Linked DNA regions of Arabidopsis thaliana. The protein of the gene in region 1 interacts with the protein of each later gene in a biochemical or structural test. Each region holds a gene or a part of one and is shown in the gene's direction. Other genes may lie near its edges.

Region 1 (8,673 bases):
AATTCAGATCCAAAATTTAAATAGTTATAATATTTGGGTCCACCTTATCTTATACGATTACTATATTCGTACTAATTAAATATAATATTAATTATTTTATATTGATAAATATTATATAGCCATGTCGCCATCAAATATCATTTTCGTCATCATTTTTTTCTGTCAACCATTTTCGTCATCATTTCTACTTGTAAATTTTGTTGTCAATCATTTCTACCAGTTATTTAATTCAACATTAGTAGTCTACGACTCTACGAGCCTAGCCTGTTTTTTTTTATTAAATCTATAAAAAAATTTCCATAAATGTTAAATAATAGTTACTAGTTTGAAGCTTCGAATAGGAACAGTATGGGCCAGAAAATGATGGAGATTATAGTTTACATTACGAGTTTATGTTACTACTTTTATTATATTGTAACTGATGATTCTATTTTTTGTCCCTTTTTTGCCGATAATTCTGTTCTTATATGCGATTCCATGTGTTTTATGATTTATGAGTTTAAGTGTTTCATGAAAATTCCAACGTTAAAATTGTAGTAGACTAAATGCCAATCTTGTGAATTGTGAATTCGATTAGTCATTTAAAAAACTGTTAAAATCTATATATTTTCTTAAAACATAAGTTATATACATATGTTCAGATCTTATAACCTACTGGTTTGTACTTGTACTAATGACGTCAACATATTATTATCCAAATTTAATTATGTATATAGTATACTGCATTTATTAAATCACTATTTATTTATTTATCTAAATTTCACACGGATATAGAGAGTGATTACAGATCATTTAGCATTGCATAAAGACTAATATTAGACCTAATAAAGTATTATTAGCGTGCGATTACCTGAAAATCATTGTCTTATGCAAATGATTAAGGTTTTCTTGTTATGGTTATCGTTTCCTTAAACCCAACATGCTAATTTAGTATCTAAATCTGATGACAAATTAAATGTTATTCTATTAATCTAATAAAGACCTTTTTGATATTTTATTCCAAAGCTGGTAAAGATCATCAAGTAGACAATAACTTTCTAAGAATTTATGTTATTATCACTAATCAACAATTTAATTATTCAAATATTAACACAGTCACCGAGAGTACGTACTTCAGACGGTGAGAAACCAAAATGAGTTTCTAAATAATAATATAAATTAAATATTTTCATAAATTAAATTATCAATTTTTTTTTGATGAAAAAGATAGACAATTATAGACACATAATGTCTCAAGAGTTTTTTGTGAGTTATTCAAATAAGAGACAAAAATTTTAGAATTTCTCACTTTTCTCTCTTATTTTTTTTTATATTTTATTAGTAATTAAGAGACTCCCATTAAATATGTTCTCTCTTAATGTCTCATTGTTTCAGTTCCTACTTCCTACAAAATCATAATTTGGTAAAGAAAAAAAGCTACATACAATTGCATAAGCATATGTAGTCTATAAGACGAGATATATATGATAATTTTCGGAATATTATTACTTAGCATTTTGTTTAAATATAACCACAATCAGGCTTTAATTTCAGTTTTTGTCTTGTCATTTGCATCTAACATAAAATATTATATTTTACTCTAAAGAACAAAAACGCAAATCATTATTATTCAATCAAAATTTTTTACGACTTTTTTATCAGGAGATAATATTTTTTTCTATTTTGCGTTTTGTTTAATTTAAAGTAACTTTGATGGTAAATCAAAATATATTTTAGATAGGTACAAATCATTTTAGCGGACAAAAAAAATGTACAACAGCAAGAGGGTGATTTAGCAACAAAATTTAGCTTGAAAAAATTGATGTTTATAGATTATGTCTAAATCTGAATAAAAGAATAAATAATTAAGTTTGATAGATCATGCAAGAGGGTGGTTTAGCAACAAAAATAAACATATTACCCTGTCTCATAAATCATTGAGATTATCAATAAAAAAAACACCCAATTTCTGTCTTAATATTGTCCCCACCAATGTGAGTCCATATCTGATTCTCTGTTTCTTTCTTCCCTACTTGGAATTATATAAAAATATGTATATACATATTAATGTGTATATATATATATATATGTGCGTGTTCCCATATCAATGATAAATGCTCTTTATCAAAAGGTAAAATGATTATAAAAAAAAATAAGTTGTTTCATTTTATTTGTTGTTTTCAATGCAAAATTTATTATTATTTTATTATTTTTGATTCTTGAAATTCTGCAACTTTTTATTGGTTAAATTATTTTAAAATATGTAATTAAACATATTTTTAAAATTTAAGAAAACAGAAACTAAATGATCTTAATCAATGTACCAAAATCTTAAACTAGAACAAAATAGAAACAAAAGAAGTATTATAGAAGAAATTAACACTTTGTTCACTAACTTGACTACTATAAATGATTATAAATTAACACTTTATGTAGCATTCGACTTTTCTGTTTATAGAAGAGGAGACTCACTTAAGTCTTTAATATCATGTTTGCATATGTTGTAGTCTTTTGTTTTTAACATCTTTGGATTGACATGGTCTATTCTATAGCCAATATCTATTATGCAAGATAACACGATTTAGTGGAGTCAAACTCTGGTGGAAAAAGCGGAATCAAATGGATTTAACCACAAGACTAAAGGAATATTTCCTGCAAGATATATGTAGTCTTAAATCTATAATTTAGCGATATAAAAAAGGACAATTTTTAAATATGATACTTAAGTTTTTGTTTATTTCTTTAAAAATACCACTTAATGTTTGGTTTCTTAAAATAACATAAAACTTAAATTTAACTTCCAACATTCAAAATTAAACTCTAAACTTTAAACACTAAACCCTAACCCCTAAAAACAATATCTTAAAATTAAAATGGTCAATTCAAACTTAATTTTTTTAATTCTGATGAACTCTTGAAAATCAAAATTGAAGTATAATATTTTTGGAAAACAAAACTTTTGGTGGTATTTTGACAACACAACTTGAAAGTGTGATATTTTGCTACAATACTCCTCTAGAATTCGAGGCTCCCTTAAAACAAAATATTATTTTCGTGTCAGTCATATTTTTTTGAGACATTTCTCAAAATACCACATTTTCAAGTCTTATTGCTAAAATACCATTTCATCCGGTATTCGATCTTCTATCAAAAGAAAATTATATTCATGTAGGATGTCTAGGTTTGGTCCAGACAAGTTAAATGGTAATCTGGTAACATGCGATTCAGTTATGTTTAAGTGTTAATCAGTTAATATTCTAAACTCGGAATAAATGTGTGATGATCCTTGAATATAAATTTATTTTGTAATACTTAAATATATTTTTACCAAAATTAACCGGATCATTGGATAAAGTTTATAAAATAATTTTTTTTTGATGATAATGCCATGAAAACAATTTATAGTACGGATGAGAAACAATGAGGCTGATTATTTTATCTCCGTCAGCTACAAATGATCTCAGACATTTTGTTTTTATGTTCAACTTGGTTTTTTATTCAGAGGTTAAAAAATGGGCACAAGTTTCTATTCAGACACATACACACATAAATAAAATAGAGAATTCACTGTTAAAGTTAGTTGACACAATAGTAAATGCGATACATGCTAGAGTCACGGAAGAGGCAAAAACAAACTCCAAAGAGAGACATATAAGAAAAAGACAAAAACCCTTAAGAAGCTTATCACATTCTTAAAGCACGAAAATTCAGAATAAGATTCAGTCATCCTTTAGCACAAAAAAAAAAAAAAAAAGATCCAGTCATCCAATACTAGTTCCCCAGAAATAAAGGTGATATATTTTTTTTTTTGAGAAGCCTATCCAGTACCAACCTCAATTCTCTAGGTTAGATATAGTCTGGGTAGTATATATGTTTCTTCACTGATTAGTAATCTCTGTGTGTAGTACACTTACTCACTAGTGCTACTCTTTTGGATCTTTCTGGGGTTTTTCTTTTGGTTATAAAACCAGAAGAAGAAGATAACTGTTTGTTATTTTAATACTTACCATTATCATCATCTTTGTAGAGAGAGAGATATGCATCATTTTGTCCCTGACTTCGATACCGATGATGATTATGTCAACAACCATAATTCTTCTTTGAATCATCTTCCTAGAAAATCCATTACTACTATGTAAGTTCTTTTATTCAAACTTATATTAAAAAAAAAAAAAAGTTTGATTAGTTCAAGATCTGAGTATTTATAGTATTGAAAACTTTAGGGGTGAAGATGATGATCTTATGGAGCTTTTATGGCAGAACGGTCAAGTTGTTGTTCAAAACCAGAGACTTCACACCAAGAAACCTTCTTCTTCTCCACCGAAGCTTCTTCCTTCTATGGATCCTCAGCAGCAACCTTCTTCAGATCAGAATCTTTTTATTCAAGAAGATGAAATGACTTCTTGGCTTCATTATCCTCTCCGTGACGATGATTTCTGCTCAGATCTTCTCTTCTCCGCCGCACCTACTGCGACGGCTACCGCGACGGTGAGTCAAGTCACCGCCGCGAGACCGCCAGTATCTTCGACGAATGAGTCGAGGCCGCCGGTGAGGAACTTCATGAATTTCTCGAGGCTGAGAGGGGATTTTAATAACGGTAGAGGTGGTGAATCTGGACCGTTGCTTTCGAAGGCGGTTGTGAGAGAATCTACGCAGGTAAGTCCTAGCGCAACACCGTCGGCGGCGGCGAGTGAATCCGGTTTAACACGGCGGACGGATGGTACTGACAGTTCCGCCGTAGCTGGAGGCGGCGCGTATAATCGGAAGGGAAAAGCAGTGGCTATGACGGCGCCGGCGATCGAGATAACCGGTACATCGTCATCTGTAGTGTCAAAGAGCGAAATCGAACCGGAGAAGACGAACGTCGATGATAGGAAACGAAAAGAGAGAGAAGCCACCACTACTGATGAAACTGAATCCCGTAGCGAGGTGAGTCAAAAAAACACAGAACAGAGTCGTTGTTAGCTATCGTGCGCAAGTCAAATACGGCGCATTTTAGTCTGACTTTGTAGTTTTCAGCGCATTTTTAATTAACTTTTTTGGTGTTTTCTTGTGGTGCAGGAAACAAAACAAGCACGTGTATCAACAACATCTACCAAGAGATCTCGTGCTGCTGAAGTTCATAATCTCTCTGAAAGAGTACGTTTGTGTTTTTTCTTATGTTTTTGTAATCTTTTTCGATAAAGATTTCGCAATGAATCTGAAGAATGTCGCGGATTTGGTAACAGAAACGGAGAGATAGGATCAATGAGAGAATGAAAGCTTTGCAAGAACTTATACCTCGCTGCAACAAGGTCTTCGACGATCTTTTTTCTTTCTCTTCAAGTTATTGTATACGTTAACCTTGTTACTGATTGTTGTTTCTTTGATCCTCAGTCAGATAAAGCTTCGATGCTAGATGAAGCTATTGAGTACATGAAATCTCTTCAGCTTCAAATACAGGTTCATTTTCTTTAAAGGATTCTAAGTCTTGAAAGCCCTTTTTAAGTTCTTGAAAATGTACACTTTACCATGAAAACTCCAGTTTATATGACTGAGATTAATGCAGATGATGTCAATGGGATGTGGAATGATGCCAATGATGTATCCGGGCATGCAACAGTACATGCCTCATATGGCGATGGGTATGGGTATGAACCAGCCTATTCCTCCTCCTTCCTTCATGCCATTCCCCAACATGTTAGCCGCTCAAAGACCTTTGCCTACACAAACTCACATGGCCGGGTCAGGACCGCAATACCCTGTTCATGCTTCTGACCCGTCAAGAGTCTTTGTACCGAACCAGCAGTATGATCCAACCTCGGGCCAGCCTCAGTATCCAGCTGGTTACACGGATCCATATCAGCAGTTCCGCGGTCTCCACCCGACCCAACCACCTCAGTTTCAGGTACTAAACAGTCATCTCTTTCCCAAAAATGACTAGTTCCTCTGCTTACAAGTCACAAGTTCTTATCTTTCTTATTTTAGAATCAAGCAACATCGTACCCAAGTTCGAGCAGGGTGAGTAGTAGTAAGGAATCTGAGGATCACGGAAACCACACAACAGGTTAATAATGTCCATGGAGCAACAAGAAGATCTGTTTTCACAAGCAAACACAATTTCTTATCCGACCCGACCCAACCACCTCAGTTTCAGGTACTAAACAGTCATCTTTTTCCCAAAAATGGCTAGTTCCTCTGCTTACAAGTCACAAGTTCTTATCTTTCTTATTTTAGAATCAAGCAACATCGTATCCAAGTTCGAGCAGGGTGAGTAGTAGTAAGGAATCTGAGGATCACGGAAACCACACAACAGGTTAATAATGTCCATGGAGCAACAAGAAGATCTGTTTTCACAAGCAAACACAATTTTGAGAAATTGACAGAGAGACCTAACATGTATATATATCGCCATCTGTTTCTTGTTTTTCTTTGGTTTGTTTTGTCCTCTCTTCTCAGGTTGTATACTTAGAGAGCTGTACATGTAATGATCCAGAGATCTAGGAATCAATACATAGAGGTTGCAGAGGCTTAGTGCAAAGAATAAATATGAGAAAGTTAGGTTCATATACATACCCGATCATTATTCTTTTCTCGTCTATTATTATTACTTTTGACGAAAGCAATTCTTGATTAAGCTTAACAGTGAATATTTACAAATGTTCCACTCCCAAGTCCCAAAGACTTATCGATACAAATGCACAAACAAATCTTAGTCCTTGCAACTAAGCTCACAATGTGACACAAAATATGTAAATAGACGGACAAAAGCCAGCAAACAAAAGCAAGAAAATTAATGATGTAATTGGCCAAGCATTGCCCATTTTGTAGTGTCTTTCATAGGATCTCTTCATCTAAAAACGTAGTGATGTCAACTAATATGGTATCTCCAGTCCATGACCATAATATCGAAAATATAAAGCTAAAAGAAAAGGCAAACAAATTTCTCAAACCGTTAAGACTTGCTATCTCCATGACCATAAGACTTGACAAACATGCATATATATGTATCAAACCGTTAAATCAATTTTGTATTTGCTTAATAAAGAAGATGTAAAAAGAAGTTTAACATTTATAGTATTTGAAAACTTATATATTAGTATTACTATTTCCTTATTTTTGTCAAAGTTATTTTACTATATATTTCCTTAACACATCAAAATAGAAGGTATACTTATACGTAAATGACCTTAAAGATTTGTTAAGTAATGGTGCATCCTCCTGGTCCTCCATAGAAAATTGCACTAGACCACTCCTCACCGACCCCTGTTTTTGTTTCGACTTTATAACATTTTGGGCTGTTTGCGAATAATCTTAAATCTTTAACTGGTGGACTTCTAATTTTTTCTATTTCACGATCTATCACTTTAAGGCCGTTCACAAAAGCTGCCTTTTTGAAACCTTCTTTTGGGAAATGTCCACTTCCCATGAGTGGGCTTGTACTCTGTCTCAGTGCACTGAAAACTTCTCCTCCCCAAAACACACGACTTGCTCCATAAGCTAAACCTTGAACATGAAACAATGATTTTGGCCAATACCCAATTGGCTCGTTCTTTATCAAAAACCACCAGTTTCCTGTAATATTATCCTGCTTAAACCAAAAGCAGTAACTCTTTTAGAAGTAGCGATTGAAATTAGAGTTTTTTTTTTTTTTTTTTTTTATATATAGGTTTTATGGAAATTGAAACCAAATGAAAACATTTTTAATTCTTGGTTTTGGTTCATGAAACCAAATCAAAACGTAAATTTATAAAGTTTTGCTTATTCTTTATTCGATTACACAAAAATAATTTTGGGTTGTTTCTGACTTGAGTTATAAGTAAACAATAGTAATCATCGGTCGATATTTTTACTACCATTTTTGGTCAATATATATACCTAAGTGTTATGCAACATCGACTTGTCAATATGAGTGGGATTTGAGAAACATGGGGTTATATATACCTGATAAATGATGGCTTGTAAATAGTATTGTTCGCCATCATAAGTGGAAGTTGGTCTGGCAAGAGTTCCAAGTGCGAGCTTGCTACTCACTTGTACAAACCCTGGACATACTGTATTGTAGCAACCTGTCTTCTCATGTCCATCTGCCTGTTTCCATCATAAATTCCAACCAATTTAGCCAGTGTGGCTTGACATGCAATGTAGTGAACTATCAAACTTTCAATATGTTTGAAGAACTTACGGTCCAATATGTAAATAAGCCACTATTATTCTGATTTAGTTTCGGGGACACCTGTAAGATATTTATTTATTTTACAATTTTATAGGTTTTCTTTTTGAATTGTTATGAAATTTTGAAGTAATTTTGTTTTTGACTTACTATCCATCCAGCTGAAATGCTCTGTAAACTGTCTCTAAAACCGTTCTCGACATATATACTTGCAAGACTAAATTGATCAGGGTTGACAGGTGGATCCCATAAATTTATGTTTCCCGTTGCTCCATAGTTGTCTCTATAGTATTCAGCTATAGCAAACTAAGATAAACAAAAGAGGAAGAAACAAAAAAATTAAGCACTTGTTAGGGTCTCAACTATGTGAACAAGAAGCTTTTCTTACATGACGACCGGTCATATTGAGGAAATCCTTGTCTTTTGAAGTTGTATACTTAACCCCTAAATATTTCAAACGTTGAATTTGTATAAGATCTTCAAGTGTAGTTCTTTTAATAATCACTGTTCCATGTGGACAACTTATGTCTTCATCTTGTCGA
Region 2 (9,503 bases), on another chromosome or scaffold:
TTGGGCCAAATGATTGTAACTGTTGAGCCCACTTGAATATCTAGCCACTTGTTTCTGTTAATTCTGACTCGGATGAGACCAAAGAGACGAATGTGGCCAGATATTATAGTGGGCTGATGAGTAAGGCCCAATAAAAATTTAAGGTTTAACACCTATCTACCGTTCCATAATTCTTCTACAAAAGGTTGTTGATTGTATTAAACAGTGTCGCATAAACTTTTAAGAGCACCGAACCGTATTAAATTCATCAACCAGTTTGTGGTAAAGATACAATAATGTGGATTTGGTTTTGTCTCTGATTCAATTTTAAATTGACAAAAATCTGAATTGGGTTTGGTTTATAGTTGAGATTGATTAGTTTTTTTGGACTATCCAAGGAAGTGGGGACGTGTTTGATTATGAGGATAGGGACACGGCAAAGCGTGTCAACGTGTAGAAGTTCATTGTATTTTGCATAATATACGTATATACATTACATACATACCGATTCTTGTTCGATATATTGTTTCTGGTCAACATTTTGCACCAAATTAAGGAAAAGACAAACAAAAGCATTTTGCACCAAAAGGAAACGCATTATTTTCTTCTATATTGTTCATATAGAATATGCCAGATTGTAATAGCATATGTCACATGTGTCACATCTCTTGTGCCCTCAAAAATCACCACGTGTATCGACTCATCATCTATCACCATCGTCGAGAATAATTTACCTGCTGATCATGATCATCTTCTCCAACAAATTTGCTTTTGTGTTGACGTAAAGTGACGTTTTGATAATATATATAGCAAATGTATCTGACCTTTTAAATTGTGGAAGGGCCAGTTCTAAGAAAAGAAAGAAAAAAAATGAGCTAGGGTTCTCTTTCCTAAGTTGTTCATGATAATGAGGTAAAAGATTAATGCCAGTATAAACTTCTGGCACGTGGTCGGCTAGCTAAAGATCAGATCTTTTATTTTTGTAGAGAATGTAGAGTAAGTGATCAAAAACCTGTTGTTGGCCTATTCCACGGCGGATTGAGAGAATTGTGCGGGGACAGGGTCTTGTCATTTTATTTGAGTTTTGGCCTAACATATAGCAACTAGATCATAACCCGTATATAGCACGGACATTAATATTTTATATAAATTAAATTGTATACTTTGTTATGTTTGCTATGTTTGTTAAAATTATTTGTTATATTTGTCAAACTTTAGTAAAATATATTTAAATTAAATTAAATTTATTAAAACTTAATAAATTTAAAAGTTTTTTTTGTTTGGAGACGCACTATTTACATACAAAATATCCGTTTCTATTTTTTGAGTACTTTTAGGGCCTGAAACTTTTTATCCAAACTGACCTAAACCCAACTGGACGCGACCCGAACCGAATATTTAGAATTATTCTATTAAATAGTAAATCATATACCCATTAATCCCAAACCCGAACGGGTTCTACATGAACTCGAATGGGTTACTCATATGTCCAGCCCTATTCTCTGATTTAATTATCTAAAAAATCCCAATAAACATATGTTTTGGTGAGTACTTTTTATTCAAAAAAATTTACATCCTCTTCTGCCAAAATCATTTCATAAGACATCCCAAAATCTTTGGAATAATGATTCCATGAATGAAGAATCCTAATTTGAATATACCAAGAGGTTTTGAAAGGTTTTAAGTTTTTGATAGGTGTGTATGTGAGAAGGTACATCCATCGTGATGGTAATCTGCTTATTTATAATTTTAACTTGCATTATACAGCAGATAGGCTTATATTTTAGTTAAACTAAAAACTTTTATTGTAAAATTGATTATAAATATATGATATTATTTTATTTGATTTTAAATGTATAGAAACTACGAGTTGTATATGTTTTGTTGATATTATTTATATTGTTTAGTGTTTAAAATTATATACTTGTATTTTGATTGTTAATTTTAGAGTTTCACATGTAGTATACCATCTTGTATTAATATTGATTTAAACCCGTCAATTGTAGGATTTTTCAGCTTGTATTAAAAATTGAATCACATCATACACATTAAAAAATCTAATATGTTATTAATTATTGTAGTATATAAGATTATAAATTTTAAAATAATATGTATGAAATTGAATATAAATATTCAAATTATGACACAGTACTCAGTAATTTTTTTTCTTAAATCTACTTTTGACCCGTTATAGTATTTTTTTCATGTACTGAACAATTTATATTCGTTTTTAAAAATTCAAATTGTGGCATATGCGAAAAAACTCTAATTATTTTTTTATAACGATGATATTATTTTTTCGCAAAAATAGAATCATATAAAGATGAGAGGTGAATTATAATAATTAATAAAAAATTAATATGATAATATTGATATCAAATCTAATTTGTTGATTTTAATTGGTTACTTTTTTGGAAATTAATAATGTATTTCGTTTTTGAGTTAAATTTAATTAATTAAATTAGTATTTGACTTTTTAATTTTTAAAGAAATGAATTAATTTACTCTTTAAAATTTTATTTCTAATGGCATACGTATGTAATTACTTACAAAAAATAAGGTTACATTTTAAAAATTAATATGATAATTTAGATATCAAATCTAATTTGTTGATTTTAATTGGTTACTTTTCTGGAAATTAATAATGTATTTCGTTTTTGAGTTAAATTTAATTAATTAAATTAGTATTTGACTCTTTAATTTTTAAAGAAATGAATTAATTTACTCTTTAAAATTTTATTTCTAATGGCATACCTATATAATTACTTACAAAAAAGAAGATTATATTTCAAATGTACTTCCCAAATAATATAGTAGGATCACTTCCATTCCGAGTTTTCTTCTTTCTTTGATATATATATCTACTTATTTATTTACTCGGTTTGATTTTATAATAAATTTGTTTATAATTATTTTCTGAACAAGAGATGGCCATAAAATACAGTGATGAAATCAATAATGGTCCATGCAAATGTACTCAAATTATCCACTTGGAAAGTTTATAGTATACAATGGGTTGTTACGTATTTTAGAATCTAATTTGCATGGCGATTTAATTGACATTTCATCATCAACCGAGCTATAACGAGAGATAAACCAGAAGATGCAACGTTCGTGAACAAACTCGACTGATATTCTAGATGGTTTTATTTATTTTTTACTTATAGAAAGGAACAAATTAGATTTAAAGATAATATGCTCTAATCTAAGAGTTTGGAACCACTATACCACATACTATATCCCATGATTAAAAAAAATCTCAATTATTATAGCGCAAATGATTGGTTTTCATCAGTTAATAGAACTTGCTGAGTGAGTCCCCAAATTTGAGGATGATTAGTAATTTAGTATCGTAAAGACTAAAAAAGACTTAAGAAAAATAGTAATGATTAGAGAAGTCAAACCTTTAATAATTAAGATAGATAAAGAGAGACAAGGTTGCTCAACCCCACTTGGAGTGTGATGCTTTTTTGGCAGTGTTCCTTTATGATAACACATCTCTTCACACACAACTTTAGTGTATCACAGGCCCATGTCACTTTAAGATAAGATAACATATTCTAGTATATGATTATTTTCATATTTGTAAGTGTATTAAATTATTCATAGACACACCATGAATTAATTGTAATAATGCGAAGGACCTGTATCATGTAACAGAGACAGACGAAGTGTGCAGAGGTCGGTGAGAAGCAATTTGGTCACCATGCTCCAACTCTCTTCTCTAGGTCCCTTTTGCTTTAATTTTCTCGTTTAATAACAATATCTTATGAAAGCAGTTACCATATCAATTGAAGGATTGTATAATACCGTAATTTATTTATATATAGTACATCTAATTAAACATTAATTATTTCTACTAATAGCCTAAAACCACTACTAATACAACAACTAGTACTTGTTTACGATAATTATTAAACTTGTCTCGATACCTACAACATGCCCAAAAAAGTAATCAATACTTTGTTTAATCACAAAGATCTCAGTGAGATGGTTCTATAGATAGTATTTCTGATTTGTTAGTATATTAGAGAATTGACCATCTATTAAAATAAGAGAATGAACACTATTTGATAAAACAATACATACGCAATTATCATTGTCTTTAATTTTTATCAAAGTAATCATACGATCGACTATTTGTATGCAAAAATTCATCATTTTATTTGCAAAAAAAAACAAACAAACATGGTAGAATTGTATTTGGTGTGTGTTTTAACAAATTGTTGCAATGTTTAGTGCAACATATATAATCCACTATATATAATCATTGACATAATTAATATTTGATTATATGAAGCAATTTCTCTTTAATTATGTGTTTATAAATATAGGGAGAAAAGAAAAATAGAGAGAAAGGTAAAGAGTAGAGCTAATGATTCGGGCGACGCTAAAAGGTTGAATGTTCGAGAGAAACGGAGTCTCAGAGACTGTGAAAACAAAAAATCAAAATCCTCAGTTACAGACGATTTGGTCCCCTCTCTTCTCTCTCTGCGTCCGTCTTGTGCGTCGATTTGTCTCCATCTCCTTCTCTCTCCGCCTACTTTCTCAGGACTACTCCAATTCGCCGACTTTTTCTCCTCTGTTCTCTGCATTTGGATTGATGCCACTTTAATACTTTGAGGTTCTCACTCTCTCTTTCTCTCTTCGCTGACTTCGATTGCTTCAGTACCCTTTTTCTCAGGTCAGCTACGATGATAGCTTTATTCAGACAAGAAGATCAAAGTTTTGATCTTTTTGTTTTGGTTTTCTTAAGAGATGGTTAATTAGGTCTTGAGTGCGCTGTTTTGAATCGTTCTTCAGTGTGATTAAACAATTGGTTTTGATTTGACTAATCATGTTGCCATTAAACTAAGTGAAAATCTCTGCTTTTTTTATATTGCATATTGATGATTGAGACATTGATTTCTTTTCTATTTCTTTATTTCCCAGTTTCTAATTTGGGAACTGAAAAGTTTTCTAATTTAAGCATTACAAAGTGTACAATTTTTGTTTCTGGCAAGTTTTTCTTGGCCTAATTCGTCTATTTTATGAATTCACCTTTTTAGGATCAAGACTTCGTAAAAGATTGTTTCTGTAAAACGCAACACCATGCCTCTGTTTGAGCTTTTCAGGCTCACCAAAGCTAAGCTTGAATCTGCTCAAGACAGGAACCCTTCTCCGTGAGTCCCATTCACTTGTCTCTCTTTAAGTCTGCCTTGTTTCAAGTTCATCAAATTCATGTGTTTTTTTGTTGTGTGTGAAAAATAACAGACCTGTAGATGAAGTTGTGGAGCTGGTGTGGGAAAATGGTCAGATATCAACTCAAAGTCAGTCAAGTAGATCGAGGAACATTCCTCCACCACAAGCAAACTCTTCTAGAGCTAGAGAGATTGGAAATGGCTCAAAGACGACTATGGTGGACGAGATCCCTATGTCAGTGCCATCACTAATGACGGGTTTGAGTCAAGACGATGACTTTGTTCCATGGTTGAATCATCATCCCTCCCTTGATGGATATTGCTCTGATTTCTTGCGTGATGTGTCGTCTCCTGTTACTGTCAACGAGCAAGAGAGTGATATGGCGGTAAACCAAACTGCTTTCCCGTTGTTTCAGAGAAGAAAGGATGGCAATGAATCAGCTCCTGCTGCTTCTTCGTCGCAGTATAACGGTTTCCAATCGCATTCTCTGTATGGAAGTGATAGAGCTAGAGATCTTCCTAGCCAACAAACCAATCCGGATCGGTTTACTCAGACGCAGGAACCACTAATTACTAGTAACAAGCCTAGTTTGGTCAACTTTTCACATTTCTTACGCCCTGCAACTTTTGCGAAGACTACTAATAATAACCTTCATGACACTAAAGAAAAGAGTCCTCAAAGCCCGCCAAATGTGTTTCAGACCAGAGTTCTTGGAGCTAAAGACTCTGAAGATAAGGTTCTTAACGAGTCTGTTGCTTCTGCTACGCCTAAAGATAACCAAAAGGCTTGCCTAATATCAGAGGACTCATGTAGAAAAGACCAAGAGAGTGAAAAAGCAGTTGTATGTTCTTCTGTTGGCTCGGGTAATAGTCTCGATGGCCCATCCGAAAGTCCTTCACTTTCTTTAAAGAGAAAGCATTCGAATATTCAAGACATTGACTGTCATAGTGAAGTGAGTTAAACTCATGTCATTTTATGCACATTACAATTTCGTTTCTTTGTTGTTTTCTTCAGTTTTTTTATTGAATATTGTTGAGCAGGATGTGGAAGAAGAATCAGGAGATGGAAGAAAGGAAGCAGGTCCATCTCGAACGGGTTTGGGTTCAAAGAGAAGCCGCTCTGCAGAAGTGCATAATCTGTCTGAAAGGGTGAGTGAGTGAAGCCCCTAAAGGGTTTTTGTCCATTCTCAAACTCACAAAAGATTGCTATATTTGGTAACTTACTGTCCTCAATTTTCAGAGACGGCGTGATAGGATCAACGAGAAGATGCGTGCCCTGCAAGAACTCATTCCAAACTGTAACAAGGTCAGCTTCTTCTCCTTTACAAATACCATTCATGATTCATTTTTGTTTGAAAGATAAGGAGCAATGCCAAATAAACTAAAACTTGCATCTTAGAACGAATTGCTAAAGGTTTTTGATTGGTTTCCGTATTTATTAAACCGGAAAAACAATTGAAACCATATTGTAAGCAAGATTGTTCAAGCCGAGAATTTTCGTATTTAATCAGCTTTTGTAACATTTATATGGTTTAAAGGTGGACAAAGCTTCGATGCTAGATGAAGCCATCGAGTATCTCAAGTCACTCCAACTTCAAGTGCAGGTAACACTCTCATTACTCTCTAGAGTCGATAAAAATCGTGCAAACTAATAATCTAAACACAATAATCGCCAACAGATCATGTCAATGGCGTCTGGTTACTATCTGCCACCGGCGGTTATGTTCCCACCGGGTATGGGGCATTACCCGGCAGCAGCTGCTGCAATGGCAATGGGTATGGGAATGCCTTATGCAATGGGCTTGCCTGATTTGAGCCGTGGTGGTTCATCGGTTAACCACGGACCACAGTTCCAAGTCTCGGGGATGCAACAACAACCAGTGGCGATGGGTATTCCACGTGTCTCTGGTGGTGGTATCTTTGCCGGTTCTTCGACGATTGGCAATGGCTCGACTAGAGATTTATCTGGTTCTAAAGATCAAACAACGACGAATAACAACAGTAACTTGAAACCAATAAAGAGAAAACAGGGGTCTTCTGATCAGTTTTGTGGATCGTCGTGACATAAATACAAACTTATGAACTGATGTATTGTTTATTTGTAGCATTCAAACAAATCTATTTTATAATCCTAAACAAAATTAATTTGTGTTCGTTATAACAGTGAAGAGCTTTGTGCTTATTGGTGGGTTCTGTTCTGTTTCTTGTTTTGAATTAAAAAATGTTTTTAATATTTTCAAAGGTTTTGTTCCCTTTTTAATGTAGCGTGGGGTTCACTATATAGATGGACCTGGTTAAACAAGCGTGATGGGCTTCTCAGCCCATTTTGTTAAATAACTTAATTATGACATTTTCTTTCGATTTCCTTTTTTTTCTTTTTTTGGGCCAGGACTATTGAACTAGTGAAGCTGAATATATACCCACGCGAAAATTGAAATTATTGGAAGTTTTTTTTTTTTTTTTTTTTTGTTGGAACCTATAGGGTGTATATAAGTTACATGATACACGGTGTTTGAGCGCATCACTTAGCTTGATATGTAGTTTATGTTATACGTAGTAAGTGATTCGCTCACGCATGACTGTTACGTTTTCTTTAACAAAAAGAAAGGGAATCGATGGTTAGGGTTAGGTCAACGATCGGAGGAGTTGAGCTAGAGCCTAGAGAACCATAGTTTGGAAGAGGGCAAATGTGAGCTCCTGATTTGTTTCTCGGATGCTGGAAGCTATATATATGTCCATGATTGTATCGATTGGGAGTTTTGTCGAAAGTAAAAAATTTCTTCCTCAATTCTTTAGGAAGTTTGTTACTTTGTTTTATGTTCACAAAACGTTGTCAACTTCTCGTAGATGCTTGTTTCTATAGTTAGAGATGTTTTATATACCCAGCCTGCCAGCCAGCGAGCAGACTTTTATTAATAGTTTCCCCTATATATAGGCTATATAGCTTTAGCGTAAACTTAAGTTCTGTGTGGTAAATCGCGTCTTCACAAACATTTTTGCACCAAAGACTTCTTAAAAGTAATATATAGAAGAGAAATTTAGATGATTCTGTCCTCGTTTAAATTGATGAGACTTATTAAACTTAAGTAATGCATAATAAATAAAACATTAAAACCTTTAGTACTGAAAAAGGTAGTCTATATAGTGGAAAGCAGAGAAGAACAAAAAAGGGTTTATACTTCCATTTAGATTTTGTATCTTCTAATGGAGGTGGATTAGACAGCTCTAACTAATTACGAAAGACAACAAGCAGTAGAAAATGGACACGTCGAACACCTAGGGAGACAAATTAATGAATTACACGAGGTTTAGATCGAAACTTGAAATAGAAGAAAATGGTGTTAATGTGGCAAAGCAAAAGAAAAGTTAAACATCATTTTGCTTTTGGCTACATTAATATATCAAGATTACCTATGATTATGTCTCTTCTTCTCTCCTTTCTTACCAGTTAGATTGGGCCATATTAGAGAGAAATTCAACCATACAAGCCCTCTTTTCTCACTTTTAATCAAATCTGTAATATTATTTGCCTTCTTTTCTAAGTTTGATATTTTTCTCGACCACAAAATCACAAAACACAAATCAAATGATCAGTTTTGGAAAAGCAAATGAGGCAAGCAATTAGTAAAAATAGCATAACCACTTGGGTGTTTAATTTTTTTCCGTATAATCCAAAAGTATTTTTTCAGTAGAACTACAACATAAAATAAAGGACTTAATTAACAAGTATATAATCATCAAAATCGTATTATAAAACCATTTATTTTATTTGAAAAACTAACTCAATCCACAATAACTCAACTAATTAGAAAAGCATCAGCCAAAAAAATGATTAAAAAATATAATAAAAAAATGATTATCTTTCAATTTGGGGGCATAATATATTTATCAGAAAACATTGCTTTTTTATTAACGAAAGGAATATTTAGAAGAAACTTTAAAATATAGAAAAAGATAACAGAAAATAATGAAAAGGGACCTTAGTACAAAGTGCATGCATGTGCTAATGTTTCCTTGATGATGGGATTAGTGCTAAACGGGCCAATTAAGATGGTATACAATAATACAATTAAGGTCACTTCTCATTGGGCCCTCTATCTCTTTCTCCGTGACCTCATCCTCTTAATCTAAAATGACTAAATGTTCTATACTTTTTAATAAGTCCCTTTCTCCTTGTCTAATTAATAAAATTCTTTTTAACACAAAAAAAAGCCGAAAAATCTTCCATCAACATCGTTGTAGAGCGTTATTAAAAATTGTACACTTCCACAAACTTTTATTGGATGCATATTTTCGTTAGTCAATATAATTGGTGGTTATATCCTTTAATAGCGTAATCTAGAT
Region 3 (6,606 bases), on another chromosome or scaffold:
CCAACGAGACGGCTGCCGGCAGATCAAAGAGAATCATTCTCTTCCTGACAACGTTCCTCTATTCCATGTTCGTGCTCCCCATAACAACGTTCGTGTACTTTTTTCCTAGTCATGTAACACATTCGAAGAAACACACGATTACAAACATATAAAAAATCTTTGCATTATTATTATTCAGAACAAAAAAGAGAAGTCTTGGATATTGTGATTTATTTATAAGAAAAAACACACTCAAAGGTGTCATATAAATAAATATATGCATCAATCAATTCTCCAACTTCTTCAAGGCCTTTGTTGCAATATGCAGCAATAGCTCCGTCCCGCCTCAAGTCTCTTCATCAATGCCTAAATCTTACACGTCTCGTAACTGCGCAATCACAGCCTTGACCGATCCAAGTTTTAATACCTCTCCGGTCTCGTGATCTTTAGTCTTCTCACGGTTTCAAGAAACATACTAAACAAAAACATCGATTTCAAAAATTAGAGAATAGCTATAACCGAGGAAATTATACCAATGTAAGATCAAGATATAAGATTCATACTCCCATGGAATATCTCCGACCATCATCCAATCTCCATCCTTGTCTTCATATGTCAAAACATGATGTTTTCGATCTCGATTACCGCCTGTTATAGCCAAGACAATGCATGGATATACTTCAAACTGTTTGAATTTAGTTGAATGTTGTTTTTACGGAATTATGTGTTGTTCATTAATTACTTACAGATGATTGAAGTATCGAACATGTGAGAGAGATTTTCTAATAGACTCTCGTAGCCTGAGAATACGCAAAGGTCGAGTTTTCTTCCAATGGGAACACCTTCCATATAAACCTTAACAAAGAGAGAAGTGTCATCACCACGACGAAGAAGACGACGACCCTTTAGTGTATCTCTTAATCTAGACTTTATCGGTGGCCAATCTTGTCTTGCTTCTCTACAAAAAAATAAAGATTTAAAACACAAATGTGAACAAAAGAAAACAGAGCAAAAACAGAACATAGGAAAAAACAGAGAAGTGATGTGAATAAGACCTTTGTGGAGAAGTAGAAGGAAATGTGAGACTAAGGGAGAGATTAACAGAAGATTCAGAAGGAGAAGGTTTAGTACTGTCGACAGAGGATGAAGAAAATGAAGAACAAGAGTTAGAGACCTCCATTAATGAGACCTTGAAGCTGCAGAGCTAGCTTCATGCTTCCTTCTCTTCTCTATTGAGAGTGCTCTTCATGTCTCTCTCTCTCTATTTCTATTTCTCTCTGTCTAGTTAAACAAAAAAGGACTAGTAGGTGATTCTATTGCATAGATTTTGAATTTAAAAATTGATTTAATCGACTTTGAAATTTAATATAAATAAATAATAGGAACATAAGGTTCCCCACATTTAACTATGAACTTTCAACCTTCTAAATATGAACACACATTGATTTCTGAAAACCACTGTAATAATTACCCGATTAGATACTTAATTCATGGGTTTAGATCTTTGGAGTTAGTTAGTAGTAAAAATGTGAAATTATGGTTTTGAGATTTGTTTACATGTAAGATTCGAAGTTTCCGTAAAAAGGTGGTATCCAAGGAAAGTGTGTCTAAATGATGTTGGAGTTAATCTGTTAAGGCTTTGATTTTAATTTCTCAACTGCTCAGATTCTTTAATTAGGAGAGATAAGGGCCAAAAAAGGCTTTATTGTCTAGCCGTAAACAGAAACAGAGCATCACATCACTTTCACTTTCTTACACATCAATATTTGAAAGAAAAAAACTGAGTCTATAGACTATGAACTTGGGGGATCAATTTTTTAGACCCTTCTGTTGATAAGAAAACTCAATTGTCTCTTATGACACATTAATGTAACAGACCATTGAAAATTGCAGAACCAATAAAAATAAGGTAGACTTGAAGAGTTTTGTGTATATTGTTTTTGTGGAGCAGACAGTGTTCTTTTCTTTAACTATACGTTTCCTGTTAATGTCTCTTTAGCTTTGTGGATTGTCTCTCTTAGAAGCCCAAATCTTTTACTCTTTTTTGAAAATCAAAATAGAATTCGTTGATTTATGATAACTTCAAAATATAAAGTAGACATAAATTGTTACATCACATAATGCTCATTGGCTGTATTGATAATAATATTAGATTCTAGAATCATCATGGGAAGTGCACTCTAATAGTTACTTTGTAATAAAGCCTACCTTGGATGTTGGATCGATAAGACTCCTATTAGCTATTATACGATCTGTCTTTGGACATGCATGTCTGGTCTCTAGGGATCCTTCTTGTTAGAATTTCGATATATATAACTTTATAATGTCTAGTAGTCTAATGATGAATGTTTACTCCTCTTTATACTTATAATAATAATTAAGACTACTATAAGTCTATAATCAATTAAACTTTTATCAAAAAAATATGTCCAAGGAGTTATTACTCGCATACCTCGACTTAAAAGAGTTTTGTCATTAGTTTTCGTTGAAGTAAGTAAGAACCAAAGATAATAATCAAACTCCTGATTTTCTGAAGTTTCTTAAAATGGTATTCAAATTTTGGCCATAACTCTCAATATATTAAGACCGAGCATGCGAACGAGAAAAAATATGATCACCATGGTTTGCAGCTCGATTACTTCTAAGTTCTAACCATGGTAAATTTAAACGTTTTGTTGAAGTAATATAGAGAGGCATGCAATAGTATTGTGCCAAAAAGTTATAGCAAGAGAGATCAATATCATGATATGTACTCCTAAATTAACGTGGCATGTTCATGCATAGACAAAGATGCAATCATATCTCCACGTTTGCATACAGCTTCAAATAATAAAATCATATAGTCATACAAACAAAATGAATGTCCGCTGCTTATGAAAATTAATTATTTGGATAGTACTTCGTATAAAAGTTACATCAAATGATTTTAGTTGATTTTAAGACAAGGGGTCCCTTGAGTGATACACAAACTCATCATGAGTATTCTGATCCATTTCATGACGAATAAATTAAAACACAATCAGAAGGTTGATCATGGGTTGGGAAAGATGTATTGGTCGGTCGATATGCCACATGTTATATTATGTTTTATACTTATTCCTGAATAGAAAGATATGTATGAGTCGAAATATACAAAAGAAGGATGAAACTTGTTCTTCTTTATAACCTTATAAAATGTTCACATTGTTTATGAGTGATTTCCCGCGTCCATTCCATACGACTTCATGATTAACATCCCTCAATATATTGATTATGACAATGTTCGAAAAAACTGTTAGATGCCAGGCAGACGACGATTCAACCGGCCAAGTTTTGTTTCCGCGCGCGCGCATAAGTCCACTATCTAATATGCAACCATTACGGTAGAAGTTTACTTGGTCCATTTTCATTGATAACAACAAAAAATCGTAAAACTTTAAAATTATGATGAAAAACGTAAAAAAGAACATGGGAAAATATATGGCGGAATCACAAAGCATGAAAAAATGCTTCGGAATGATTGACTGAATTTACAATTGGTAGAATTTAATTTTAAGAGATAACATTTAAAAATTCAAAACATTAGTTAGCTGTCTTTATACAAAAGAGTTATTTGTGTACCAAAAAATAGAAAACGAGATATATGACCACATGATGAGTTTATGCATGCCTATTACGCCATGCAAATAGATACACACACACATAGTTGTGCCTCTGACTTTGTCTGCAAGTACGTTTGTATGGTTCTAGACAGTAATTATTGTCCTAAACCCACACGCTCTGTGAATACTCACTAAAGGTTGTTTTCCGTAGAAATCATGAACAAAGACTTTAAAAGCAAAACAGAACAATAAATCAATTAATAAGTTCAACGGGATATAGTGGAAAAGAAAACACAGATACACACCATTGGATTGAAACAGTTGCATTTGTGGTCTTACATAAACCTACGTGTTCTTTTATAAGCCAACCAATACTTTTCTCTTTTTTTTTGTTTGAAACGAGTTGCAGACTTTGAGTGGCCCCAAAGAAGAAAGAAAAGATGCAATTTCCTTTGGTTTGATATTCTCTTCAACCTCTTACCTCTCTATTCTCGTCTTTAGCAAAATCTCAAAAGACAAAAAGATATTGATGTCTCTCCAACGACCCAATGGGAACTCGAGTTCGTCTTCTTCCCACAAGAAGCACAAAACTGGTAGGTGTTGAAAGAAACTTATCTAATATTTAACTTAATTTGGTTTAGAGAAATTGGTTTGTATAATTCTCAGAGGAAAGTGATGAGGAGTTGTTGATGGTTCCTGACATGGAAGCAGCTGGATCAACATGTGTTCTAAGCAGCAGCGCCGACGATGGAGTCAACAATCCGGAGCTTGACCAGACTCAAAATGGAGTCTCTACAGCTAAACGCCGCCGTGGAAGAAACCCTGTTGATAAAGAATATAGAAGCCTCAAGAGGTAATCAATGATGAGTAAAAAAACTTTTTTTTCTTAGCATTCGATTTGTGGAATTGAAATGGTAAAAAAGAAACTGTGGTGAAAAATTACAGATTATTGAGGAACAGAGTATCAGCGCAACAAGCAAGAGAGAGGAAGAAAGTGTATGTGAGTGATTTGGAATCAAGAGCTAATGAGTTACAGAACAACAATGACCAGCTCGAAGAGAAGATTTCTACTTTGACGAACGAGAACACAATGCTTCGTAAAATGCTTATTAACACAAGGCCTAAAACTGATGACAATCACTAAATATTTACCCTTTAATCCATTGTTCAGTGTTGTATGATTATCTTTCTTTCTTTTTTGGTTTTGGTTTGTATACACTTTTTGTTCGAATAACATTCACTTTGAGCATCATTGTCATTCAGATTTGCAAAATAAAGTAAAAAAAAACGAAAAAAGGCAAGAAGAGATTAGGTATAAAAACTAGAGTTCTAAAATGCCGTGGTGGGTCCCACATGTTCTTATGCGAGTGAAACGAAGAAGTCTCTGGAGAATTTGTTTTCGTAGAGACCAAGCTGCTGCTATATAAATATTGTGAAAGAGATGAGATTTTAATTACTTGTAAGTGATTCAGAGAGATCAGAAGAAAAGAATAATTACGAAGAAATGGAGAATTTTGGTGAAGGGAGAAGAAGTGGAGGCGGAATGTTGCCGTTGCTGGCTCTAAGCGCCGTCGCGGAGTACTATAGACTACCGTGGAAACCACCGGTGACGGCGAGTCTCCTGGCCGCGAACACTCTCGTTTATCTCAGGCCGGCGTTTATCGATCCCGTTATTCCTCACATCAGTGAGGTCTGGTTCAATCCTCACCTCATCTTCAAGGTAAACCAATCTTAATAAATTCCTTCATTCGCCAAGAGAAATTGATTGCAATTTGACCGATTTCGATCTGAAATTCGAATTTGAGTTTCCTGGGAAATTTGTACCAATATCTGGAGAATTAGGGATTTTGTTCTTCGATATCTAATTAGATCATTCTTGATTGATTAATTCTATTCTCTGTTAAAGTTTTTTTTTTTAATCTTGATGTGTATTTGTTGAACAGCATAAGGACTTGAAGCGTTTATTTCTATCAGCGTTCTACCATGTTAACGAGCCTCACTTAGTCTATAACATGATGTCACTTCTCTGGAAAGGTATCAAGCTTGAGACATCAATGGGAAGCAGTGAGTTTGCTTCAATGGTCTTTACTCTTATTGGTATGTCTCAAGGAGTCACATTGTTGTTAGCCAAATCGCTTCTTCTCTTGTTTGACTATGACAGAGCTTACTACAACGAGTATGCGGTTGGGTTCTCGGGTGTTCTCTTTGCTATGAAAGTTGTTCTTAATTCTCAAGCTGAGGATTACTCAAGTGTGTATGGTATCTTGGTTCCAACAAAGTATGCTGCTTGGGCAGAATTGATTCTAGTGCAGATGTTTGTACCTAACGCTTCGTTTCTTGGGCATTTGGGTGGAATCCTTGCTGGTATTATCTATTTGAAGCTGAAAGGTTCTTACTCAGGCTCAGATCCAGTCACTATGGCGGTTAGAGGTGTATCTCGATTGGTGACGTGGCCCTTGAGGTTTCTGAATGGTATGGTTAGGTCTCGGAGAAGGAGGATTACGGGGAGAGGAAGAGTGGGAAGAGGTCAGACTGGGATAGCAGGACCTGGTATTTGGAGATGTCAGTCGTGTACATATGACAATTCTGGTTGGTTAAGTGCTTGCGAGATGTGTGGCTCGGGACGGGCTAGAGGAAATGGATGGTCACTGAATCAGGGACCAGCACTTTCTTCTTCTAATGATCTCCCTTTAGATGAGCTGCGCCGTCGAAGAGTAGAGAGGTTTAGTTGATCTCGGGAGCGCATTCTTAAAGCTGAGGAAGGATTGTGAATGAAGCTTTGTTGAATCATTCATTGCATTAGCTTATGAATAGCAGAGTTAGTGGTCGTGTTTTTCGATCTGTTTCTTCAATTTGTCTTCTCTTTTGTTGTTGAAGATTTGGTTCTACGTGAACTGGTCCTTTGATTAGATTGCTGAAAGTAGCGAGTGATTCAGATAATATAGTATCTTCACACCAAACTTACAGTTTCACAGACTTTCGATTTTAACAAAATTTTATCCTATTTCAAACCAAATTTTGTTGAAAGAAGAAGATCACAAAGCAA
Region 4 (7,008 bases), on another chromosome or scaffold:
ATTCAAGTCAGATCAACCAGAGAGACAAACAAACCAAGTAATGACTAATGATCCATATTATTAAGATTCTAATCAACTGATAAAATTTTGAATCAGCTTAGAGTTTCATACTAAAACCAGCTACACAAAAATGCGGAAACTTGAAAATGAATCAGAAATCAAGTTTTTCATTAATCAACCTTACGCAAGAGAAAGACTAAGCGTCGTCCACATATCGGATTCATAGACGCATCACTAGATAACGAAATATAGGGTTCGAATTACGCAGCTGAGAGTTTGTTTTAGTATGAATTTACCTGAAGAGAGGGATCTGGAATAAGATCAAGACGAAGTAAACCGATGAAGCCATAGACGTCCATTTCTTTATCCATCCCTTTGATTGCCCTGGGTTCGCCATTAACAAGCCCGCAAAGAAATCAAATCTAGAGAGAGAGAGAGAGATGCAGAGTGGACCCGTTGTTACCAGACGATAACGACGAAGAACAAAATAAATACTTTATAAACGACACGCTTTGCTACACTGTAAACACAAAACGGAGTCAGTGTTTAGATCTTTAAGGGATAAACGACGTCGTTTACAAAGATTCATATAAAAATCCGATTATTTTTCTCACTGCTGCTGAAAACAGCAAACAGTTTTGATGATAAAAGCCATGGCTCTATCTTCTGCCGGCGTCGTCTCTCATCTTCATCCTCCGTCGTTTTCTTCGTCGTCAGGATTATCCGTCAACAGAGTTCTGTTTCGGAATCGGAACGCTAGTCCTTGTGGTCTATCTCTTCCAATTCTCAATCCGTCTCGGTCTGTACTTGTTTTTGCTCGTGGCAAGAATCGAAAAGGATTCGTGTCTTCGTCTTCTTCGTCTCCGAAGAAAAACAAAAAGGTAAGAAAATCAGAATGAGAATGATTTATGTTCGCAATTGCTCTTACCTGCTGCTTTCGCCGAATTTGACTAGAATTTGGATACACTAACTAAGTGAGCTATTATCGGTTAGAATTGGTGAATCCTCGAATTAGACTTTGGCTCTTTTTGATTTTGTATCAGCCTTTGATTTCATGGTTTGTGGCAGAAAAGTTTGGATGGAGCTGATAATGGAGGAGGTGAGGAGGAGGAGGATCCATTTGAGGCATTGTTTAATCTTTTAGAAGAAGATTTGAAGAATGATAACTCGGATGATGAGGAGATAAGTGAGGAAGAGTTAGAGGCATTAGCCGATGAGTTAGCTCGAGCATTGGGTGTTGGTGACGATGTTGATGACATCGACTTGTTTGGTTCAGTCACTGGTGATGTTGATGTTGATGTTGATAATGATGATGATGATAATGATGATGATGATAATGATGATGATGATGATGACAGCGAAGAAGATGAAAGACCGACTAAGCTGAAGAATTGGCAGCTTAAAAGACTGGCTTATGCATTGAAAGCTGGGCGTCGTAAAACTAGTGTAAGTTTTAGTTCAGTGTTGAAGTGATGTTGAATACATTGTGTAAAGCATAGTGCTTGAGTTAGTGTCTGCTTTGGAGATTTTGCTTACGAATTGTTTAAGAGTTGACAAAGAACAAGTAGTTCTCTGGTTTTCAAATGCATAATTGATAACGGATGGTTTTGTTGTGATCTGTAGATTAAAAATCTGGCAGCTGAGGTTTGTCTTGACAGGGCTTATGTTCTTGAATTGCTTCGTGACCCGCCTCCAAAGCTGCTAATGCTAAGTGCTACACTACCAGATGAAAAACCGCCAGTAGCAGCACCTGAGAACTCCTCACCTGATCCAAGTCCTGTGGAATCATTATCAGCTGAAGATGTTGTGGTCGAACCTAAGGAAAAAGTAAAAGATGAAGCAGTTCATGTGATGCAACAGAGATGGTCTGCTCAGAAAAGAGTGAAGAAAGCTCACATTGAAACGCTAGAGAAAGTTTACAGAAGATCAAAACGACCCACTGTAAGGATTCTCCTTTTACATTTGAATCAATTTCTATGTTACTTGAATGCTCTATCTCACATATGATCATGTTTGATGATGCTGTGAATAGAATGCTGTGGTTAGCAGCATTGTTCAAGTGACCAATCTTCCAAGGAAGCGAGTTTTGAAGTGGTTCGAAGATAAAAGAGCAGAAGACGGAGTTCCAGATAAGCGAGCTCCATATCAAGCTCCGGTTTGATCTAATGTTAACGTTGAGATGGCAATGATTTGTATACTTGATTCTCAGAAACTCATCAACATTGTCGTCAAGGACAAGTTTTTTTGGTGATACGAGGAGTGTTTATAGTAGTAGATTCTGTCCAATGGTGTGGCTGGATATGTTGGACTATGAAATTTTAGGATATCTTGTATTCAGTTTTTAGTTATTTCCTTGCTGAGATTGTGTCTTGTAGAAAACCGTTTCAACTTTGTTTGGTTTATGGCGGCTATAAAGTTTAATTTTAATGCATGACAAAAACAAATCACCAAAAATAAAATAAATTACTTTCACGACACTTTTGAAAGCACTGCCCTAGGCGTGGGCCATGTGACAGAATGAAAGAACTCAGACCAAACTTTTCTGTCCAAGGACAGGAATGGGGCCCACCCAATTAGCTCCCCTATCCATTATTCACCGTAAGATGCTAACCAGATCTAACGGCTAAAATCCACCCACGTTCCAATCTCAATTGCCTTTGGATCCTTGTATTTCCTCAAGGCTCACCTTTCTCCACGATTCACTCTCGATATCCGTTCGATTCTTCAGAGATCTGACGGCGGTAGCCAGAGTAATCTATTCCTTCCCAAAATGTCTCGCAATTAGATTCTTTCCAAGTTCTTCTGTAAATCCCAAGTCCCGCTCTTTTCCTCTTTATCCTTTTCACCAGCTTCGCTACTAAGACAACAAATCTTTCCCTCTCTCTCTCGCCTGATCGATCTTCAAAGAGTAAGAAAAATGCAGGAACAAGCGACTAGCTCTTTAGCTGCAAGCTCTTTACCATCAAGCAGCGAGAGGTCATCAAGCTCTGCTCCACATTTGGAGATCAAAGAAGGTAAACAAAAATTGTCGATTGTTTTATTTTCATATCTTCTCCCAACGAGTGATCTCATTGATTTTCATTCTCATGCATTGGATATCTAGTAAATTCACATCTAGATTTTGTATCACCATTGATTCACATCTAGATTCACAACTTTTAGTCTCCCCCAGAAGATCTGCAATTTTTTATTGTATTTAAAAAGTTTGAAACTTTTCGTCTAAAGTCTCTTTTATGTTTTAAAGGAATTGAAAGCGATGAGGAGATACGGCGAGTGCCGGAGTTTGGAGGAGAAGCTGTCGGAAAAGAAACTTCCGGTAGAGAATCTGGATCGGCGACCGGTCAGGAGCGGACACAGGCGACTGTCGGAGAAAGTCAAAGGAAGCGAGGGAGGACACCGGCGGAGAAAGAGAACAAGCGGCTGAAGAGGTGTCTTTTTCTCTATTCATTGAATTTACATTTTTACCCTTTATATGGAAGGTGATTATGTTAAATAACGGTTGCGTGATGGGGTTGTTTGGTAATTTTGTGGTGAAAAGGTTGTTGAGGAACAGAGTTTCAGCTCAGCAAGCAAGAGAGAGGAAAAAGGCTTACTTGAGCGAGTTGGAAAACAGAGTGAAAGACTTGGAGAACAAAAACTCTGAACTTGAAGAGCGACTCTCTACTCTTCAGAACGAGAACCAGATGCTTAGACATGTACGTTTTGTCGATCTTACTGTTGACTTAACCTGCAACGTCAATGCTTTTGCCATTTGTTTTTTGATATATCACAGTACTGGTTTATCACATTTACGAGTCTAGGATTGACCAATAATTAGTTTAGTTAGTTAAAAGGATCTAAGAAGCTAACTTAAGCTTTAGATTAATTCTCAGAAGGCATGTAGGTTCTTGAAATGGTCATTCACTCGCATATTCTCTCAAAAGGCATGTAAATTCTTCAATGGTTCTTGAAATGCTCACTCATTTTGTTCTATATGAATGGAGAAGATGAGATTGCAAAGTTGGATCTCTATGTGTGTGTGTGGTAATAAAGTCTTTTGAGTTGTTATGTTTTTTATGTGGTGTAGATTCTGAAGAACACAACAGGAAACAAGAGAGGAGGTGGTGGTGGTTCTAATGCTGATGCAAGCCTTTGATCTCCTTCTTCTTCTTGTGTTATATTTTTGTGGATAAAATTTACAGAGAATTGTATCAATAATTATCATGTTAAAATTATATGGGATGTGAGAGCTAATATTGCAATTGTAGACCAAGTTCTCTTATTGTAGTCTTAGATTTCTCTTAATTGAAACATAATGTTGTTTTATAACAAAAATAAGCTAATTTTTGTTCTATGATATGACATTGTGACACTGTAGTAGAAAGGTTGCGTTTTCGATTCCCGCAGTTCAAAGTCCCAAACAAATTCTGGGATAGTGGAATCTTTACTCTTTTTTTTTTCCTTTTTGCCCCTATCCCTCCCGATTTCTTACAGACAAGTCGCCATGGATTTGTAAACGAAGATGCCGTTGATCATATTATGCGGAAATCGGACAAAGAGGGTAGGGTCGATCTTTTACAGCCAAAGCTTGTCAAGCTCGAGAGATGAGCAATCATGTAAGTGTTTTCTTACACTTTTGCTTTCCTTTTTCTAAAATCCATGGAATCCAGACATTGTTTTCTGTCACTGCTACCTTGAACTTGCTGCTCCCTTCTTAGAATCGGGTTGCCACAACCGAATTTCATGGACAAAATCGTACATTTCTTTACCTGTTGTATGCTTTCTGATTCTTTGTTTTCTATTTTAGATTTTTCGTGGATCTCATCTTCATCTATTGCTAGTTGCTAGTGTACTATGGATTGTTTGACATTATTTCTCATGCTTTTGAGGATACTCAGATTCTATCAATGTTAACAAAGAAAAATTTATTCTCCTTCTTTTACCACTTCCATCTTCTTTGTCTTACATTTGGACATTCCATGTCTTTACCAGCTTCCGCAGGGAAGATGTCCGTAGAGACTTTCTCAGTCACGTTCAGATGGAGTTTCAAAGAAAATGAATCTCTCCATTCAATGATAATGAGATTAAAAGAAGAGAGTCATCAGTATATCCAGGCGAATAGAGAATCTAATATCTCGCTTTCTAGCATCTTGCGAACAGGAAGTGAGGCAAAGGCTTGACGTTTTACCTGAGAAATCTCTCATATCATCAATATCGCTGATCAATTTGCAAAAAATCCGACAAAGAGAAAGCTTGAGGAGTGAACAGCAATGTAAGTATTTTAAGTCATGGAACTCAGATTTTGATCAATGCTTTCTTGAAATTTATCTTGAGTTTTTTAGTTGCTGCTTTCCTCTTAGAATCAAAATCTCACAACCAATGAAAAATCCTTATGATTCTACATTCTACATTATCTTTCCTTTTACTGTTTCTTACATTCTGTGTCTTGTTTATGCTTGTGAGGTTAAATTTTCCTTTTGCTGTTTGCTTCTTATGATTTTATATTTAGTTTTTTTTTTTCGTTGGACCTCATTTTGCTATTGAAACATTATTGAACGAAGCTTCTTCTCTTGCTAGTTGCTCATGTAGGACCCGTTCTTGTAATTTTCTGTGAGAAATATCCAGAATTTGGGGTATATATGTAATAGTTTCAACATTCTCAGTCAATGGAGATTGGAGTCAACGTTTTTCACTGTATACAGAGCCTCTTTAAAGCTCTGTGATAGTTGACTGCAAGAAAAGAGATAAGAAAACTGTGATACTGATCCTACTAATTTTATGGCTTCTTCGTTTTTCCTTACCACTGTTGCAGCTGCAATAGGCTTCTTCACCCTTTTGAGAAAACTCAGATTCCATCATGATAACAAAGAAAAGAAGTCAACTTCTTTATCTCCTTCATCATCTCCATCTTCTTTGTCTCCTTCATCAGTTCCTCCACCTTCTTCGTCTTGCATCTGGACACACCAAGTCTTTCCCAGCTTCAGCGGGGAAGATGTCCGTAGAGACTTTCTCAGTCACATTCAGATGGAGTTTCAAAGAATGGGAATCACTCCATTCGTTGATAATGAGATTAAAAGAGGAGAATCCATCGGTCCTGAGCTTCTGCGGGCTATTAGAGGGTCTAAGATAGCAATTATCTTGCTCTCTAGGAACTATGCTTCTTCAAAATGGTGTCTTGACGAACTGGTGGAGATTATGAAATGCAGAGAAGAGTATGGTCAAACTGTGATGGCCATATTTTACAAAGTGGATCCTTCTGATGTAAAAAATCTGACCGGAGATTTCGGGAAAGTCTTTAGAAAAACTTGTGCCGGTAAACCAAAGAAGGACATTGGGAGATGGAGACAAGCTTGGGAAAAAGTGGCCACAGTAGCTGGTTACCATTCAATCAACTGGTTAGTCCTTATGATTTCTACTTGCTCGTAAACTATATACATCTTTAGCTTTGAAACAAAACCCATCAAAGAAATTCGTTTTTGAATGTGTGTGATATTTCCATGGTTATTTACTAAATGTAATTTTCTCTCCCCCACCTAATTGTTAGGGATAATGAAGCGGCCATGATCAAGAAAATCGCCACTGATATTTCGAACATATTGATTAATTCCACTCCTTCACGTGATTTCGACGGGTTAGTTGGGATGAGAGCTCATTTAGAAAAGATGAAACCGTTGTTATGCCTAGACACAGACGAAGTAAGGATAATTGGGATTTGGGGTCCTCCTGGGATTGGGAAGACCACAATTGCCAGAGTTGTATACAACCAACTCTCCCACAGTTTCCAACTGAGTGTCTTTATGGAGAATATCAAAGCAAACTATACCAGACCAACTGGCTCCGATGACTACAGTGCAAAGTTGCAATTACAACAAATGTTTATGTCTCAAATAACCAAGCAAAAGGATATAGAGATTCCTCATTTAGGAGTTGCCCAAGATAGGTTGAAAGACAAGAAAGTTCTGGTCGTTCTTGATGGGGTGAACCAGTCAGTACAACTAGATGCGATGGCGAAAGAAGCTTGGTGGTTTG

What was found.
Region 2: the proteins of PIL5 (region 1) and PIF3 form a complex in vitro, tested with the Arabidopsis thaliana proteins (one study listed by BioGRID).
Region 3: the proteins of PIL5 (region 1) and HYH form a complex in vitro, tested with the Arabidopsis thaliana proteins (one study listed by BioGRID).
Region 4: the proteins of PIL5 (region 1) and HY5 form a complex in vitro, tested with the Arabidopsis thaliana proteins (one study listed by BioGRID).

What each region holds. Positions count from the first base shown.
Region 1 is NC_003071.7:8,701,882-8,710,554, reverse strand, and holds PIL5 (phytochrome interacting factor 3-like 5), read left to right. Parts: upstream 1-3,550; 5' UTR 3,551-3,770; exon of another isoform or gene 3,771-4,006; 5' UTR 4,007-4,016; coding exon 4,017-4,114; intron 4,115-4,202; coding exon 4,203-4,908; intron 4,909-5,040; coding exon 5,041-5,118; intron 5,119-5,207; coding exon 5,208-5,273; intron 5,274-5,355; coding exon 5,356-5,421; coding exon of another isoform or gene 5,422-5,436; intron 5,437-5,527; coding exon 5,528-5,866; intron 5,867-5,946; coding exon 5,947-6,030; 3' UTR 6,031-6,115; intron 6,116-6,195; coding exon of another isoform or gene 6,196-6,279; 3' UTR 6,280-6,531; downstream 6,532-8,673. Other genes in the region: AT2G20170 (NEP-interacting protein, putative (DUF239)), read right to left, coding at 7,160-7,546, 7,903-8,049, 8,144-8,194, 8,282-8,437, 8,520-8,673. UniProt on the Arabidopsis thaliana protein: Transcription activator. Negatively regulates chlorophyll biosynthesis and seed germination in the dark, and lightinduced degradation of PIF1 relieves this negative regulation to promote photomorphogenesis.
Region 2 is NC_003070.9:3,072,146-3,081,648, forward strand, and holds PIF3 (phytochrome interacting factor 3), read left to right. Parts: upstream 1-3,622; 5' UTR 3,623-3,707; intron 3,708-4,255; exon of another isoform or gene 4,256-4,313; 5' UTR 4,314-5,070; coding exon 5,071-5,141; intron 5,142-5,232; coding exon 5,233-6,112; intron 6,113-6,200; coding exon 6,201-6,308; intron 6,309-6,399; coding exon 6,400-6,465; intron 6,466-6,697; coding exon 6,698-6,763; intron 6,764-6,838; coding exon 6,839-7,222; 3' UTR 7,223-7,509; downstream 7,510-9,503.
Region 3 is NC_003074.8:6,019,882-6,026,487, forward strand, and holds HYH (HY5-homolog), read left to right. Parts: upstream 1-3,962; 5' UTR 3,963-4,089; coding exon 4,090-4,153; exon of another isoform or gene 4,154-4,226; coding exon 4,227-4,413; intron 4,414-4,505; coding exon 4,506-4,704; 3' UTR 4,705-4,829; downstream 4,830-6,606. Other genes in the region: IAA31 (indole-3-acetic acid inducible 31), read right to left, coding at 400-454, 543-627, 726-937, 1,035-1,159; RBL14 (RHOMBOID-like protein 14), read left to right, coding at 5,065-5,280, 5,504-6,292. UniProt on the Arabidopsis thaliana protein: Transcription factor that promotes photomorphogenesis in light. Acts downstream of the light receptor network and directly affects transcription of light-induced genes.
Region 4 is NC_003076.8:3,590,710-3,597,717, reverse strand, and holds HY5 (Basic-leucine zipper (bZIP) transcription factor family protein), read left to right. Parts: upstream 1-2,714; 5' UTR 2,715-2,917; coding exon 2,918-3,014; intron 3,015-3,244; coding exon 3,245-3,428; intron 3,429-3,538; coding exon 3,539-3,800; 3' UTR 3,801-3,923; intron 3,924-4,066; coding exon of another isoform or gene 4,067-4,135; 3' UTR 4,136-4,357; downstream 4,358-7,008. Other genes in the region: AT5G11280 (tail fiber), read right to left, coding at 297-397; OCP3 (overexpressor of cationic peroxidase 3), read left to right, coding at 642-881, 1,069-1,446, 1,624-1,941, 2,033-2,161; AT5G11250 (Disease resistance protein (TIR-NBS-LRR class)), read left to right, coding at 5,758-6,374, 6,524-7,008.